2 linked regions of the Anolis sagrei genome follow. The protein of the gene in region 1 interacts with the protein of each later gene in a pairwise test. Links are inferred from orthologs where the notes say so. Each region holds a gene or a part of one and is shown on either strand. Other genes may lie near its edges.

Region 1 (7,440 bases):
GCTGTCATACCTTTTGACTTAGAAAGGTTATTTGGGACTATAACCTCCAGGAACTCTCAGTCAGTGTGACCACTGTAGTCCAAAGAAAGTAACTTTCTAAGCTCATCAAAACAGGTAACTGTTTACAACCTAGACATTATTTTTTGTCATCATACATAGCCATGTGATTTCATTCAGGCAACACACCTGAATCAAAATGCCTCAACACTGGGATTTTAACATTCCAACAGCAAAGATTACAAATTCAGATTGAGGTAGTGGGCACACCAAAAGAAAAACAGGTGTTGCACAGAGCCAGTGTATATACTGTTGAATAGATTGCATTCACAACAGTGCTAGCAGGTTGTGAAAGGTTGTTTATCTTCCCAGACTTGCTCCTTCAGATAAAATGCCCACCCCATGTGCATTCTCATGTGATCAAAACAGAGAGAGCAAAAGCCTTGGGAGACTTCCTGACCCCGAATTTCATGAGACACTCCTTAGTCTCTGCTCTCAGGCTCCTCCACACCCCCATCACCCCACCTCCAACCCCATGAGACAAATCTCACTTCAATAGAATCTATTATGTCTCTTTTATCCCTTTGCTTTTCAATGGATGACTTGGTTTTGCCTGGGAAGCCCAGCCCCACCGCAGCTAAAGGAGACCAATGGCTGCTAAGCACAGGGAAGAATTAATGCTAAGCGACTGTGCCTTTGTGAGTCTAAGGACTCCAGGCCCATCAAGAATGCCTGGGAACATGTGCAGATTACAACAGGGTGCAAGCAAAAGATTTTTTTTTAAAAAGTCCATTGAAAACAAACATCAACTTTAAATCAGTGTTAACCAGACAGGCAACCCCTATAATGCAAGTTTGGAAACAGGGGCCCCAACACTGTCTCTTTGTTAATTCCATGAAAGCCCCGTCAGCAATGGACAAAGACAAATTTGGAGGGGATGTTGCCATGTGTCAGGTGCAGCAGCGAATGCAGGGGAAGTGAAGGGAATAGACACATGCCATTGGTCCACTGCTCCCTCAGATACAGCTGAGCTACAATTGCACTCAGGGAAGAGAAGGTTACAGGGTCACAGTCTCAAGCAGCATTCTGGCAGGCTGAACAGTTAAGTATAGGAATTTAAGTGCAGCAATGTGCGGAGAAGCATCCAAGAATGCTGCTGTGATCATTACCACACGATGAGCAATCTACCTCTGTCCCTTTGGCAACACTCATTTCAGATATTCATAGTTCTTTGGTACAGGCAGGGGTGGGAAACCTATCCCTCCCAGTTGCTATTGAACTCTAACTCCCATTAGCCTCAGACAGCATGAAAAATGTTCAGGGATAATGAGGAATACATTAGTCTGAAATGTCTGAAGAGTCAATTTCCCTATGTGAATCCTAAGGAAATTACCAGTCACACAGATCAGCGATTGGGTAGTATTTAGTACAGAGACTGCTTGAAAACAAGATAACTGTAGCTCTAACTATAAGTAGGTACTGTCAAGAAAGTTGTTGTTCATCCTTTGGGCCATTGCTATCTAAATGGTTAAAATGCCACCTGTTGACTTTGAATGGGACACTGTCCTCTGGTCAAAACTTAATTAATTACAGCTGAACCTTTATGAATTAATAGATTGTGCAACAATATAAGGTGTTTCTTAAAAACATTTCTCTGTAGATTTCCGTGTACTTAACACTCATGTTCAAACCAGTGGGAATAAAAAGCCTAAATCCAGATAGAGCAGATTCACAAAACCAATTGCTGAATAGTATGTCAACCCATGGCCTAAATATCCTAAAGGCACCAAAGCCTATCTGATCTTGGAAGCTAAGAAGGATCAGTCCCAGTTAGTAATTGAATGGGTGACCACCAAAGAATATGAGGTCCTGTAGTTTATATTTCAGAGGATGGAACTGGCAAAGTCACCTCTACGTATTCCTTGTCTAAGAAAACCATATAAAATTAATGGGGTCACAAGTTGAGAGGTGATGTAATAGCACATATGCATAGGTCAGTTTCATTGATTCTATAGGGATACCCTAGTTGGGGCTAGCAATTAGATTTAGTCCACTATGTTTAGTTTTGTCTGGATCATTCCAGCTTCCACTAATTATTCTGATTGAACTGAATACACACATGAACTCTGACAATAATTAGAAATCTTTGTTGATACTGTAGAGAAAAAAGAGTAACACCCCAAAAATGTCCCAAGAGCATTAGAAGGAATTTTGTAAAATGATGTTAATCGGGATTAGCAGTGTACCAGCTTGAAATCAAACAAAACTGGGGAATCTGAATTAACTAGCACTGATTAGATTACATTTTGCATATGAATCAAATGAAAAATGAAGTTTGCCTAATTGGCATATTGGGTGGGTTTCAGATTCATTAAGTGCAACTATATCTCAGTAGTCTAAAGTCACACCTGCCTTTTCACACTGTATATAATGAGACTCAAGTGCAACTATATTAGTCTCAACCTAAACTCTTATGTACATATAAGACCATATTAAAAGAGCTAAAGATGTAAAATGTTAAGAAAGCATGTGACTAAAGCCAAACCACAGAATGTTGCTAGCGAAATTTACATAAGATAAGAAAGGAAATGGGATTGAGGTGAGTAACAAAGAGACAAAAGGTAATGTATGAGAGCAGACAAGGTGAAGTTCAGATAATTCAGGAAAGAGTTACAGGTCCTGAGGTAGAAGATAGATTAGAGGTCACTGGACAAATAAACAATGCAACAGGAAGTACAGAAATGAAGCCAAAAGGAAATTGCAAAAAAAGAACTACATAAGAAAGTATGTGCTGAAACTAACACAGAAAAACCTATCTTGCTTGGAACAATATTTGTGATAAACATACTATTGTTTAAAAGATTTAGAAGAATTTTTATCATGAGTAATTTTTGGAGACAGTCAGACTGGCATACTTATGAAACAATTCTGTCTGTTTCGTCTCTTCCTTCCTGTTTTAACTTCCTGCTCACTTCCTGTGAAGATGACGTACAGTTGTAAACATCTTAGCCTAAACCATACCACATCCTGCCAAGGTTACTGATCTACTCTGATACAGTCTCTTCCCCAGAAAGCCTGTCTGTGGAGAGAATACTCAGACTTGCATGCCATTTTATGTAGCTTTGGGCTGGAGGGGGGAACCAGTATGAAACCAAGGGCCCTTCTACATAGCCCTATATCCCAGAATAACAAGGCAGAAAATCCCACAATATCTTCTTTGATCTGGGTTACCTGAGTCCACACTCAGATAATGTGGGATTTTCTGCCTTGATATTCTGGGATATAGGGCTGTGTGGAAGGCCCTTGTTTATTTCTCCTGTGGTAGAAACAGGATAATTTATGTTTTCAGCTGGTATCAAATCCTACCCTGACCCTGTTTTCCTAGAACATTCATCACATGACAAACTTGAAGAAATCAACACTTTATGTCACCACATTAAACAGTTTTTGGCATGTCCTAACACTACGATCTAAGGGCCCTTCCAGACAGCCAGATTACCCAGAAGATCAAGGCAGAAAATCCCACAGTATCTGCTTTAAACTGGGTTTTCTGAGTCCACACTATTAATTCCAGTTCAAAGCAGATCATGTGGGATTTTATTCAGCTATGTGGGAGGGGGCCGTGTGAAAATTTTGACAGCTGTCAAACATCTTTTCTCTCCGTTTAAAGCATAATCCCGTGTATACCTTCATAACGATGGTGGCATGTATAAAACACACACAAGTTCTCCAGTATTATCAATAGGACTTTGTTAATGGGGTTTGTAGTTTTGTAAGGCACCAGGTTCGAATCCGGGGAGCGGGGTGAGTTCCCGCTGTTAGCGCCAGCTTCTACCAACTTTGCAGTTTGAAAGCATGCGAGTGTGAGTAGATCAAGAGGGACCGTTTCTGCGGGAAGATAACGGCGCTCCATCCACATGACCTTGGAGGCGTCTACGGACAACGCCAGCTTTTCGGCTTAGAAATGGAGATGAGCACCATCGGACAGTGTCAGGGAAAACCTTTACCTTTTAAGGGACCAGCACTCATTGGCAGAGAACAACAGAGGCCCTGTATAACTACAAATCCCATGGTGGTATAGCATTAAGCCTGTTCAGGTCCTGCATTCCGTATTTCACAATGCCGAGGCAGCATTGTGGCCCCGCCTACCGAGAACTGACGCGGGTTCCCGCCAGCGGCGCCTCATCTGCATGATCCCGCCCCTTTCTCTTGGCCCCGCCCCTCCAGGGCGTTGAGCTTTTCTCGTGCCGGGCCTCGCCTCCCTCTGTGACGTATCACTGACGCCTGCTGCCCCGGATGAGGCTGGGTTCGGAGTGTGTCAGCGACTGTGTGGGGATGCGGCGGAGGCGGCAGTAGTAGCAGGAGGAGCAGCAGCAGCAGGTTCCGCGAGAGAGACAGCTGGTAAGGCGCACCAGGCGGGGCCTGGCAGGGAGGGAGGCAGGGAGGATGTCCGGGTACTAGGGCACGGTGTTGTCGAATCCGGCTGGGCCCCCCTCCCTTCCCGAAAAAGCTCCCGTTTCCCTCCTTCCCCGATTGGCCGCTAATTGACAACGGGGCAGATTCCGCCCCTTAGCGGGCGCTTATTAGTTGAAACCAGCGGCACGGCTCGCCGCGATTGGCTCGAAGCGCTGTCACTCACGGAGTAGGGCGGTGGCGAGTGTCCCCTGAGGGAGCCGGGAGGGGGTTCACGAGGTGACCGTTGGCGTGTCGCTCGCACCCTGAGTGGGGGGGGGGGCGAATTGGGAGGCGGGGGCCGCGCGCGTGGCGTCTCCTTCAAGGCCCGCGTGGCCTCGTGACTCTTCGGACCCGCCTCGCGCGATTCTGGCGCCTGCCTCTTCCAGCTCCCGCCGGCCTGGGCCCTCTTTTATGCCGAAAGGGGCACCCGCCTGCCTCGACTCCTTCCCCTCTTTCACCTTCCGCTCTTCGCAGCTCAACGCCCGCCCCGGGGCCAGTCGCTTGGCCTTTTCTCGAAGGACCGGGCCTACTAGGAGCATCTGAAGAGCATCCGGGTCGAGGGAGCCTCTGGCAACATCTCCCTCCCCCACGTCTTTCTATTTGGTCATGCTTGACTCACGTTAAAGTTCTGGGGTTTCCACCTGAACACCCATTCTCTAAGTACTTCATAACACTAGAGAATGAATCTACATTAAATACGGTTTCTTCTTCTGCAGAATTCTGGGGTCTGTAGTTTAGGGAGGAGCCTTTAACAGCCTCACTAAACTACAAACCCCAGAATTCTGTGGCAGGCAGAAACCGGATTTAAAGTGGATTCATTCTCTAGTGTGATGAAATCATCTCTCTAGGCCTCCAGGTGATTTGTATTCCAATTCCCAAAAGCGTGAAATACTTTGGCCAGTAATCAGACATTCTGGGAACTGAAATCTGAAACACCTGGGAGGCAGGAGCTGGGGAGTCATTTACTAGAACTAAGGCCCCATCTACATTGACCATCAGACTGGCAGCCAGACACAGAAGTGGATGAAAGAAAACCCCTTCATATGTACCAATGCTCTGTGGTTTGTCATCACCATCCTGGCCGCAAACTGGTTCCAGAATTTCCTGTTTAATCGTCTGCACAGCTAAACCAGCATACTTTAATTCTGGTTTGAAACTGCATTAAATGGGGCTGAAGTAATAGCAAATAAGTCACAGCTGACAGATTCCCATTCTGTAAGAAGTGTATTTTTTTGGAGATAACTCGTTTGTAGTTGAGCAACATCCTCCCTCATTGTAAAATCATGATAAAGTTCTGGGTGCCCTGGTCAGTAGCTGAACTTTCCCAACTCCCTAAAACAAAACTTATTTGTCAGTTCAGGCCAGTATCAAATCTTTTGAGGGTTATACATAGACCAAAGGCCTATCAGATCTCCTTTCTGTTCCCATGTTGACCAAACAAATGCTAATTGAAAACCCACAAGCAGAACATGAGTGCATCAGCAATTATTATTATTATTATTATTATTTATTTGTACCCCGCCACCATCTCCCTGAAGGGACTCGGCATATCTAACAAAGCACTAAAGTGCCACACATAAAATAGAATTATATATCATCAAAACAAGGCACACTTTGACTGAATATAAACAACGGACAATATCAATCAATAAATTTTTTAAAATTAAAAATTCTAAAACATGTCATATCTCTCCCTTCACACTTGTGCTTATCTATGATTGGCATACAAAATATACAACTTCTAATACTGGAAATATATAATATCATGACTAATAAGTATTGGTGGTTTTGTTAGTGAATTCTAGAGTTTAAATATGTGTTGTGTGAATAAGGATCTTCTTCCCACATCTTCTGTGTAAAATCCTGGGAAGTCTGAATTCCTTTTTATTGGACCCTGTAATTTGCCGTTCTCTCCCACACACATAAAACTTTCATAAATCAGGTTAAAGTGCTGGCCACAACTGTAAAGAGCTTATGAATATTTACTTTTTGTGAATTATGCTGTAGTGCACTATTAAATATATTGTTTCATGCCCTCACTCTTGGTTTGAGTCAAAAAGATAAAAATTAGCATGATTTGTTTTTATATTTGATATGTATAAATTGTGTCTTCATAATTTTATATCATGAGGAAATGTAGGGAAGGTGAATTGAATGGTCTCTCCACTGTTTGCATTCCATTCTGACTGCTATTATTGAAGCCTAAGAGACATAGGGGAGAAATCTACAGTAAGGGAGCATGGGTAGGTTGAGGGTTTCAGTTTTCCTCCCCTGAACCAGTCTTTGCTCTTAGACCTTGATGCACTTTCACAAACTGTTACAAATGTGATTGCTTCTGTCACGTGCAACTGTACATATTCTTCCTTTGTCAGTCTTACTTGCATCTTTCTTTGTAGCATTCTGCTGTGTCACATTTCAGATTCCAGTCTCCTTGGAAAGGGACCTCTCTTGTTTGTTTGTAAAACATCATATACATTGGATCATTATTATCTCAATAACAAGAATAGCTTATTTACTAATTTTGATATTTTGCTGTAAAATTAAAGCCTCTTAGGCCCCTTCTGCATTGCCGTGTAAAATCCAAATTATCTGCTTTGATAGTCTGGATTATATGGCAGTGTAGAAGGGGCCTTAATTACTATCCTGTTAAACTTGGGTAAAGGAAAAGCCAAGGTGTTCAGCTGTCAAACAGTTGCTAAGATATACAAATATACTGATGATGTCGGAGTACTGAGTTCCCATGAGTCACTGGAAATATTATCCTGTTGCTGAATTAAGAAAGTGGCAGTTATGCAAACAGATACCACATGTTATGCAGTACAGATGTCAACTTATTGGAAGTATTTGTGATACACAAGCCCCAAACCAAAATACAGCCTAAATGAACACAAACTGTTGACCTGATGTTCACCCAGCAAAGAACACTGCTTTGGGAGATTAATTGGTAGGAATATTTATGAATAAATTCCACAATTGCTACTCTTTCCA
Region 2 (7,672 bases), on another chromosome or scaffold:
AAAACTCCGTCTGGAATATTTTATCTTTATGATTTCTTGAACTTCAGGATTCGCTCAGACTGAGGAAATATTTATATAAAAATAAGGAATTCCAGAAGGTGCTTTGGAAAGTTTCTCACAATAAGATAATATTTCAGTTGGCAGAGAGCAGTTGTTCACAATTTAGGAAATTTTAGAAATGTTATGGTTTGCTTTATGTAAAAATAAATAAATAAAACAAACCCAAAAGGTTGACTATATGGGAATAAGAGTTCTCTTGTAGTCCTAAATGGGAAGTGAGATTTCTATTAAAAGGTTCTTTGGCACAAAGTACTACCAACAATACCACCTATTTTTGTTAAAATATATTTGAGGTCTTGTATGAGCCAAACAAGAGTTAATGTCTTTGGTTATATTTCTATGTTGTTTTAAAATAGGAAACTCCGGTCTAGTGTAAACCCCAGAAAACAGTTCATAGGGCTGTCCTCTCAGGTTTTGCATCTAACCTTGTGTTCGCAAAAAACCCCAAAGGAGAAAAAAAGGTGGGAATGTCTCAATAGTACTATCTCCTTTCCATATTTCAGTTGGTAGAGAACAGTTGTTCACCATTTAGGAAGCCTTAGGCCCCTTCCACACAGCTGAGCAAAATCCCACATTATCTGCTCTGAACTGGATTATTATTATTAATAATAATATTATTTGCCATATTTATATCCCGCCCTTCTTACCCCAAAGGGGACTCAGAGCAGCACACATAATGGCACAATTTGATGTCATACAGAACATATCCAGCAAATAAAACATACACATTAAAACAACCGCTAAAAACATTTCAACAATTAAAATAATTAAAATCACATAATCCAATATTGTAGTCCAGGCTGTTCCAGTTATTATTGTACCACTCCACATATTGCACATTTATACATGGCACTGTGGGCTTAGATACCCCAGTTCAAAGCAGATATTGTGGGATTTTCTGCCTTGATATTCTGGGTTACATAGTTGTATGGATTTCTGTGAAAAGATGTTTGGGATCTTAGATTTTTTTTAAAATTGATTGAGACTATATGGGAATAAAAGGTCTTTTGGAGTTCTAAATGGAAAGTGAGATGTCTATTAAATTATGCCCTTTGGCGGAAAGTGCTACCCAAAACCATCAATGTTAAAAGATATTCAGAATCTTATAGCCCTTCCACAATATCTGCTTTGAACTGGGTTATCTGGGTCCATCCTCAGATAATGTGGGATTTCCTGCCTTGATATTCTGGGATATGGGCCTGTGTGGAAGAGCCCTTATTGTATGAAAAATGCTGTCAAATGGAGACGAACTGGGTTGTTTTTTTTTTGCTTATATTTGTGTGCCTGTTTCAGAATAGGAAATGTGTCACCATAAACGGCTCATAGGCCTGCCCCCTCAGGTTTTGCACCTAACCTTCTGTTTTGAGGGGATTTGTAATAAACATGAAGAAAAATTTAATGTCCTGTGACTGAGCCACCTGTTTATCTACTCACATTTGCATGTTTTCAAACTGCTAGGTTGGCAGAAGCTGGGGCTAAAAGCGGGAGTTTACCCCATCCCGTGGATTTGAACTGCTGACCTTCTGGTTAGCAAGTATTGTAGATGTCTCCTAAGTCATGTGGCTGGAATGACTGCATGGAATGCCGTTACCTTCCTGCCGAAGCAGTACCATTTTTTTTTCTCTGTCAGAAGTGACTTGAGAAACTGCAAGTCACTTCTGGTGGGAAGTACCTATTGATCTCACAACTGTATGCTTTTGAATTGTTAGGTTGGCAGAACAATGGGAGCTCACCCTGTTCCATGGATTCAAACTGTCAACCTTCCAGTCAGCAAGTTCTGCAGCTTAGTGGTTTGGCCTGCTGTGCCACTGTGACATCTTAAAACTTTAAAGGAAATTTATTTTTATTTCCAGCATTTCTACCCTGTCCTTCTCAACCCCCGAAGAGGGACTCAGGACAGCTTACATTTGGCACAATTTGATGCCATAACAAAGCAATATAACAACAATTAAACAATAAATAGAACATTAATTAAAACAATAAAACAGTATTAACTGCTGTATCACCATTCCAGTCAAATTCCATATCCAAAGCGTTATTTATGCCAGCTGTCCAAAAGCCTGGTCCCAGAACCACGACTTCTGTTTCTTCCTAAAAGACAGGAGGGATGAAATCGATCTTACCTCGTTGGGAAGCGAGTTCCACAGGCAGGGGGGCTACAGCCGAGAAGGCCCTGTCTCTCGTTCCCGCCAGATGTATTTGCGTCACTGGCAGGAGCGAGAGCAGGGTCTCCCCGAATGATCTTAAACTGCAAGGCAGGATGTAGTGGGAGAGGTGGTCGGACAAGTAAGGGCAGTGAAGACACACCCTCTCGTCATCTTTGTAAAGCCAGGTTAGGCCCCTTCCACACAGCTGAATAAAATCCCACATTATCTGCTTTGAACTGGAATATATGGCAGTGTGAACTCAGATAACCCAGTTCAAAGCAGACATTGTGGGATTTTTTGCCTTGATATTTTGGGTTATATGACCTTGTGGAAGGGCCCTCAGATAACCCCTTCCACACAGCTCACTAAAATCCTACATTATCTGATTTGAACTGAAATATATGGCGGTGTGGACTCAGATAACACAGTTCAAAGCAGATATTGTGAATTTTCTGCCTTGATATTCTGAGTTATATGATTGTGTGGAAGGGCCCTCAGATAACCCAGCCCCCTTCCACACAGCTCACTAAAATCCCACATTATCTGCTTTGAACAATATGGCAGTGTGGACTCACATAACCCAGTTCAAAGCAGACATTGTGGGATTTTCTGCCTTGGTATTCTGGGTTATATGACTGTGTGGAAGGGCTCTCAGATAATCCAGGAATATATGGCAGTGTGGACTCAGATAGCCCAGTTCAAAGCAGATATTGTGAATTTTCTGCCTTGATATTCAGGGTTATATGACTGTGTGGAAGGGCCCTCAGATAACCCAGACCCCTTCCACACAGCTCACTAAAATCCCACATTATCTGCTTTGAACTATATGGCAGTGTGGACTCAGATAACCCAATTCAAAGCAGATATTGTGGGATTTTTTGCCTTGATATTCTGCGTTATATGATTGTGTGGAAGGGCCCTCAGATAATCCAGGATTATATGGCAGTGTGAACTCAGATAACCCAGTTCAAAGCAGATATTGTGGGATTTTTTGCCTTGATATTCTGGGTTATATGATTGTGTGGGAGGGCCCTCAGATAACTCAGGCCCCTTCCACACATCTCACTAAAATCCTACATTATCTGCTTTGAACTGAGATATATGGCAGTGTGGACTCAGATAACCCAATTCAAAGCAGATATTATGGGATTTTTGCCTTGATATTCTGAGTTATATGATTGTGTGGAAGGGCCCTCAGATAATCCAGGATTATATGGCAGTGAGAACTCGGATTATCCAGTTCAAAGCAGATATTATGGGATTTTTGCCTTGATATTCTGAGTTATATGATTGTGTGGAAGGGCCCTCAGATAATCCAGGATTATATGGCAGTGTGAACTCAGATAACCCAGTTCAAAGCAGATATTGTGGGATTTTTTGCCTTGATATTCTGGGTTATATGATTGTGTGGGAGGGCCCTCAGATAACCCAGGCCCCTTCCACACAGCTCACTCAAATCCTACATTATCTGCTCTGAACTGAGATATATGGCAGTGTGGACTCAGATAACCCAGTTCAAAGCAGACATTGTGGGATTTTCTGTCTTGATATTCTGGGTTATACGATTGTGTGGAAGGGCCCTCAGATAATCCAGGAATATATGGCAGTGTGGCCTCAGATAACCCAGTTCAAAGCAGATATTCTGGGATTTTCTGCCTTGGTATTCTGGGTTTTATGACTATGTGGAAGGGCCCTCAGATAATCCAGGAATATATGGCAGTGTGGCCTCAGATAACCCAGTTCAAAGCAGATATTCTGGGATTTTCTGCCTTGATAGTTATATGACTGTGTAGAAAGGTCCTCAGATAACCCAGGCCCCTTCCACACAGCTCACTAAAATCCCACATTATCTGCTTTGAACTATATGGCAGTGTGGACTCAGCTAACCCAGTTCAAAGCAGATATTGTGGGATATTTTTTGCCTTGATATTTTGATTTATATGACTGTCTGGAAAGGCCCTCAGTTCAAAGCAGGTATTGTGGATTACTCTAGTTATATGGTTGTGTGGAGAGACCTTTTTGAAGCACAAAAAAAAGGAACTCGGGTTTGTCAGGGGCCTGGTTGCGAGAGGAACGCCTCAGCGAGCTTATAATATATACACACTCTCTCTCCTTCTCCCCTCCCCCTGCCTGCGCGCGCGCTCACGCTCTGAGAAGAGGGGGGGAGCCGTTGGAAACGTCAGAGAGAAGGGGAAGCGCGCGCTAGAGAGAGAGAGAGAGAGAGGAGGGAGCGCGCGACGCACAAACGCGCCGAGGCTCGCGCTGCCTTCCCGGCCCATGAGCCCCCGCGTGGAATGTAGAAGGGAGGGGAGGATGAGGAGGAGGATGAGGAGGACACAAGACGACCAGGCCGCCGTCTTCTTGAGCCTCTTCCTGTGAGGAAGGGCCGCACTGCGCCTGCGCGTAGCAGGCCCTGTTCTGTCGCTGCCTGCTTATTATTATTATTATTTTTTTTATGTTTTACTTTCTCTGCGTGGCCGAAGCAGCGGGGATCTCGCAGCCCTCCTTTTTTTCCTGCTCTGACGGGTTCCTCACCGTCGCCTCCTGAGGCACTTGAGGGGAGGCCTTCTTTCCCCCCCTTGCCCTTTCCCAACGGCTCTGTCTGTGGCCTCCCTCCCTCCCTCCCTCCCCACAGGCGGCCATGAGTCCCACGTCCCTGCTATGGAGGCGGTATTGGCGGCGTCGGTGGCTCAGCGACTGAAGGCGGCGGCGTTTCTGTGCCGAGCAGGGGCTTCTCGGGCTGCGGCGGCGGCGGCTCTGACGGTGCTTTTTAACCCTTAGATGGTCTCTAGCGAGCCGTTGCTACTGCCTGTGTCACTGGAGGACGAGTTCTCCAATAGCATGAAGGAGATGATCGGCGGCTGCTGCGTGTGCTCCGACGAGAGGGGCTGGGCCGAGAACCCGCTGGTTTACTGCGACGGACACGGCTGCAATGTCGCAGTGCATCAAGGTGAGTGGGGGAGGGGGAGGGGGGCAGAGGGAGGATGCCACAACAACAACAACAACAACTCTCCCTCCTACTGGGACACTTCGCTCGGGCCCTTCTTTTGATCCCATTCTAATCTTTCTTCCCCTTCAGAGCCACCAAAGCTGTCAGGAATGGTGGGAATTGAAGTCCAAAACACCTGGAGGGCCCAAGTTGGCCATGCCTGGCTGAAAATAGTTCATTTATATATTTTTAAAATACAGGCAGCCCCTAAGTTACGAACATCCGACTTAGAAACGACTCCTAGTTAATGATAATAATAATAATACTAACGCTTTATTTATATCCTGCCCTCTCCCCAGGGGACTTGAGCTTACAACAGGGACACAGTATAAAAAATCAGGCGGGGAGGGGGATGGGGGTGAGAGAAATCTGCATATAGGAAGGGAAATTCACTTCTGAAAGAGTTGTCACAGGAAAATGTGTCTTCACTGAAGCTTCTCACCAATCCTTGTTTCCATAACAAGCCATTTAAAAAAAAATAATGATCACATGGACAGAAAGTGAGGTGACATCTTCTGAAAGGAGGCGCAGATAGCAAAACAAATCCTCAGGGTTGTTAACCCTTCCCTATGCTATCAAAAGCTAAAATGGAATCTATTTTTGGATAGAGTTACACTTGAAAGCTAAAACAGAATATAATTTTAGCTGTAGTTACCCTTGAGAACAAACCTACAGAACTTATTTTGTACGTAACTTGGGGACGGCCTGTATATGATTTATTGCTTGTTTCACATAGACTCCAGTTTCTCATCACAGTTCTGCAACTTACCTACACGCTGCAGCTGACACACGAACTCGAGACACAGCCTGGAAAACTCTGGTTTAGTCTCTCTCCTTTCCTCCCCAAGAAACAAAATGGTTTTTCCTCTCCTTCCCTTCTATTATACCTGGGGGTGGGGGAGGGAGAGGGAGCTGCCAGTTTCAGAAAAGGGAGACCTTATATATAGAATCAGAGTTGGAAGAGGCCTCAAGGGCTATCCAGTTCAACTCCATTCTGCCATGCAGGAATGCACAATCAAAGCACTCTTGACAGAGGGCCATCCAGGCTCTGTTTAAAATCCTCCAGAGTGGGAAATTCCCCGATCCTCTGAGGGATCATATTCAATGTGATAGAATCATGGGAGTTGGTAGCTTGACTGCCTTTCCCGCCAAAGAGGGCCAATGATTCACCAAACTACAACTCCCAGGAATCCATAGCCTTGAGCCATGGCACATTCATTTGGCAGTGAAAATGCAGCCTCTATTTTTGTTTCTGTGTGTACCTAATGACTTGCTTGCCTGCTCTTTCCCCTCCTGTTTGCCATTGGTAGTAAAAGTTATCAGGAAGGCCAAGTTCAGAGAGTTTTGGAAAATATTGAGTCTGGGAACATCAAGCTAGGCCCTCCTCCCATGTGGATCTCACTTCCTTGGACCTTTGAGGAGTAGTCTGGCAACATGTGTGCCTGAGAGGCAGAGTTAGCTCTCATGTGACTGGCGCTTGGCTTCCCAGCCGATGGCTGCTTTGCCTGGACAGGTCGGCTGGATCAGGAGACTTCCTGTTTGCAGCAGGATGGTGCTGGGGGAGGGAAGGAAAGGGCCACTGAAGAATTTACTTAGTTTCTGATGGTAGATTTGTTTGGATTAATGGAAGGGGAGCAGTTGACCAGGGTCCAGCTGAGTTACTGTGTGGCTTGCCATAATGAACACTGTATCATTTGTTAGTGTTAGTGTCATAGAGTGCTAAAAGACCACAAGGTCCAACTCCCTGTCATGCAGGAACACACAGGGCACATCTACACTGATCATTTAATGCAGTTTAAAGACAGCCTGACAGCATTGTGTTTACATCATGCATGCCATGCACATGCACTGCAGCTTACTATAAGGGCCTTAATCTGAGGAAACCAAAGTCAAGTAATACTCTGAAACAGAGACCTTAATGTGCATCAGGGGCTTTACTGTAAACCATGTCGTAGCGAAAGTGATGAAGGGATCCACATATGTGCCAGTGATCTGCATACAAGTGCCATCCAGGCCTTGAGCCAGTTCTAGGATTTCCTATCGAATAATCTGCATCCTGAAACTGCCTCCTTATTTGACGTAAGCGGTCAGTGCAAATGTGCCTCAAATCAAAGCACTCCTGACAGATGGCCATCCAGACTCTGCTTTAAAATTCAGAGAAGGAGACTCCACCACACTCCTAATGCAGCATATTCCACTACTGAGCAGCTCTTACCACCAGGAGGTTCTTACTAATATTAAAATGGAGTTTTAGCTTTCTGCAGTTTGAATCCAGTGACTTTTAGATGTGCAATTCTACCATTATAATTCTGTTAAATCTGAGCAATTGCAATTGTCTACTCATATATTTGCATAAAAAAGCTTGATGGTGAAAGATGAGAAAGAGGGGTAATGTGAGACTTCAGTCTTCACCAATTTCATAAAAGCTTAAGCATTTTCAAATATATGAAACTGAAAGAGGAATGCAGATGATCAT

Evidence for each region. The genes of interacting proteins can lie anywhere in the genome.
Region 2: the proteins of NDEL1 (region 1) and MLLT10 interact in a two-hybrid assay, tested with the Homo sapiens proteins (2 studies listed by BioGRID and IntAct). The link is inferred for Anolis sagrei from reciprocal best matches to the Homo sapiens genes NDEL1 and MLLT10.

Annotation. Positions count from the first base shown.
Region 1 is NC_090022.1:125,981,668-125,989,107, reverse strand, and holds the start of NDEL1 (nuclear distribution protein nudE-like 1), read left to right. Parts: upstream 1-4,209; 5' UTR 4,210-4,398; intron 4,399-7,440. UniProt on the Homo sapiens protein: Required for organization of the cellular microtubule array and microtubule anchoring at the centrosome. May regulate microtubule organization at least in part by targeting the microtubule severing protein KATNA1 to the centrosome.
Region 2 is NC_090026.1:107,723,076-107,730,747, forward strand, and holds the start of MLLT10 (protein AF-10), read left to right. Parts: upstream 1-4,417; 5' UTR 4,418-4,988; coding exon 4,989-5,157; intron 5,158-7,672. UniProt on the Homo sapiens protein: Probably involved in transcriptional regulation. In vitro or as fusion protein with KMT2A/MLL1 has transactivation activity. Binds to cruciform DNA.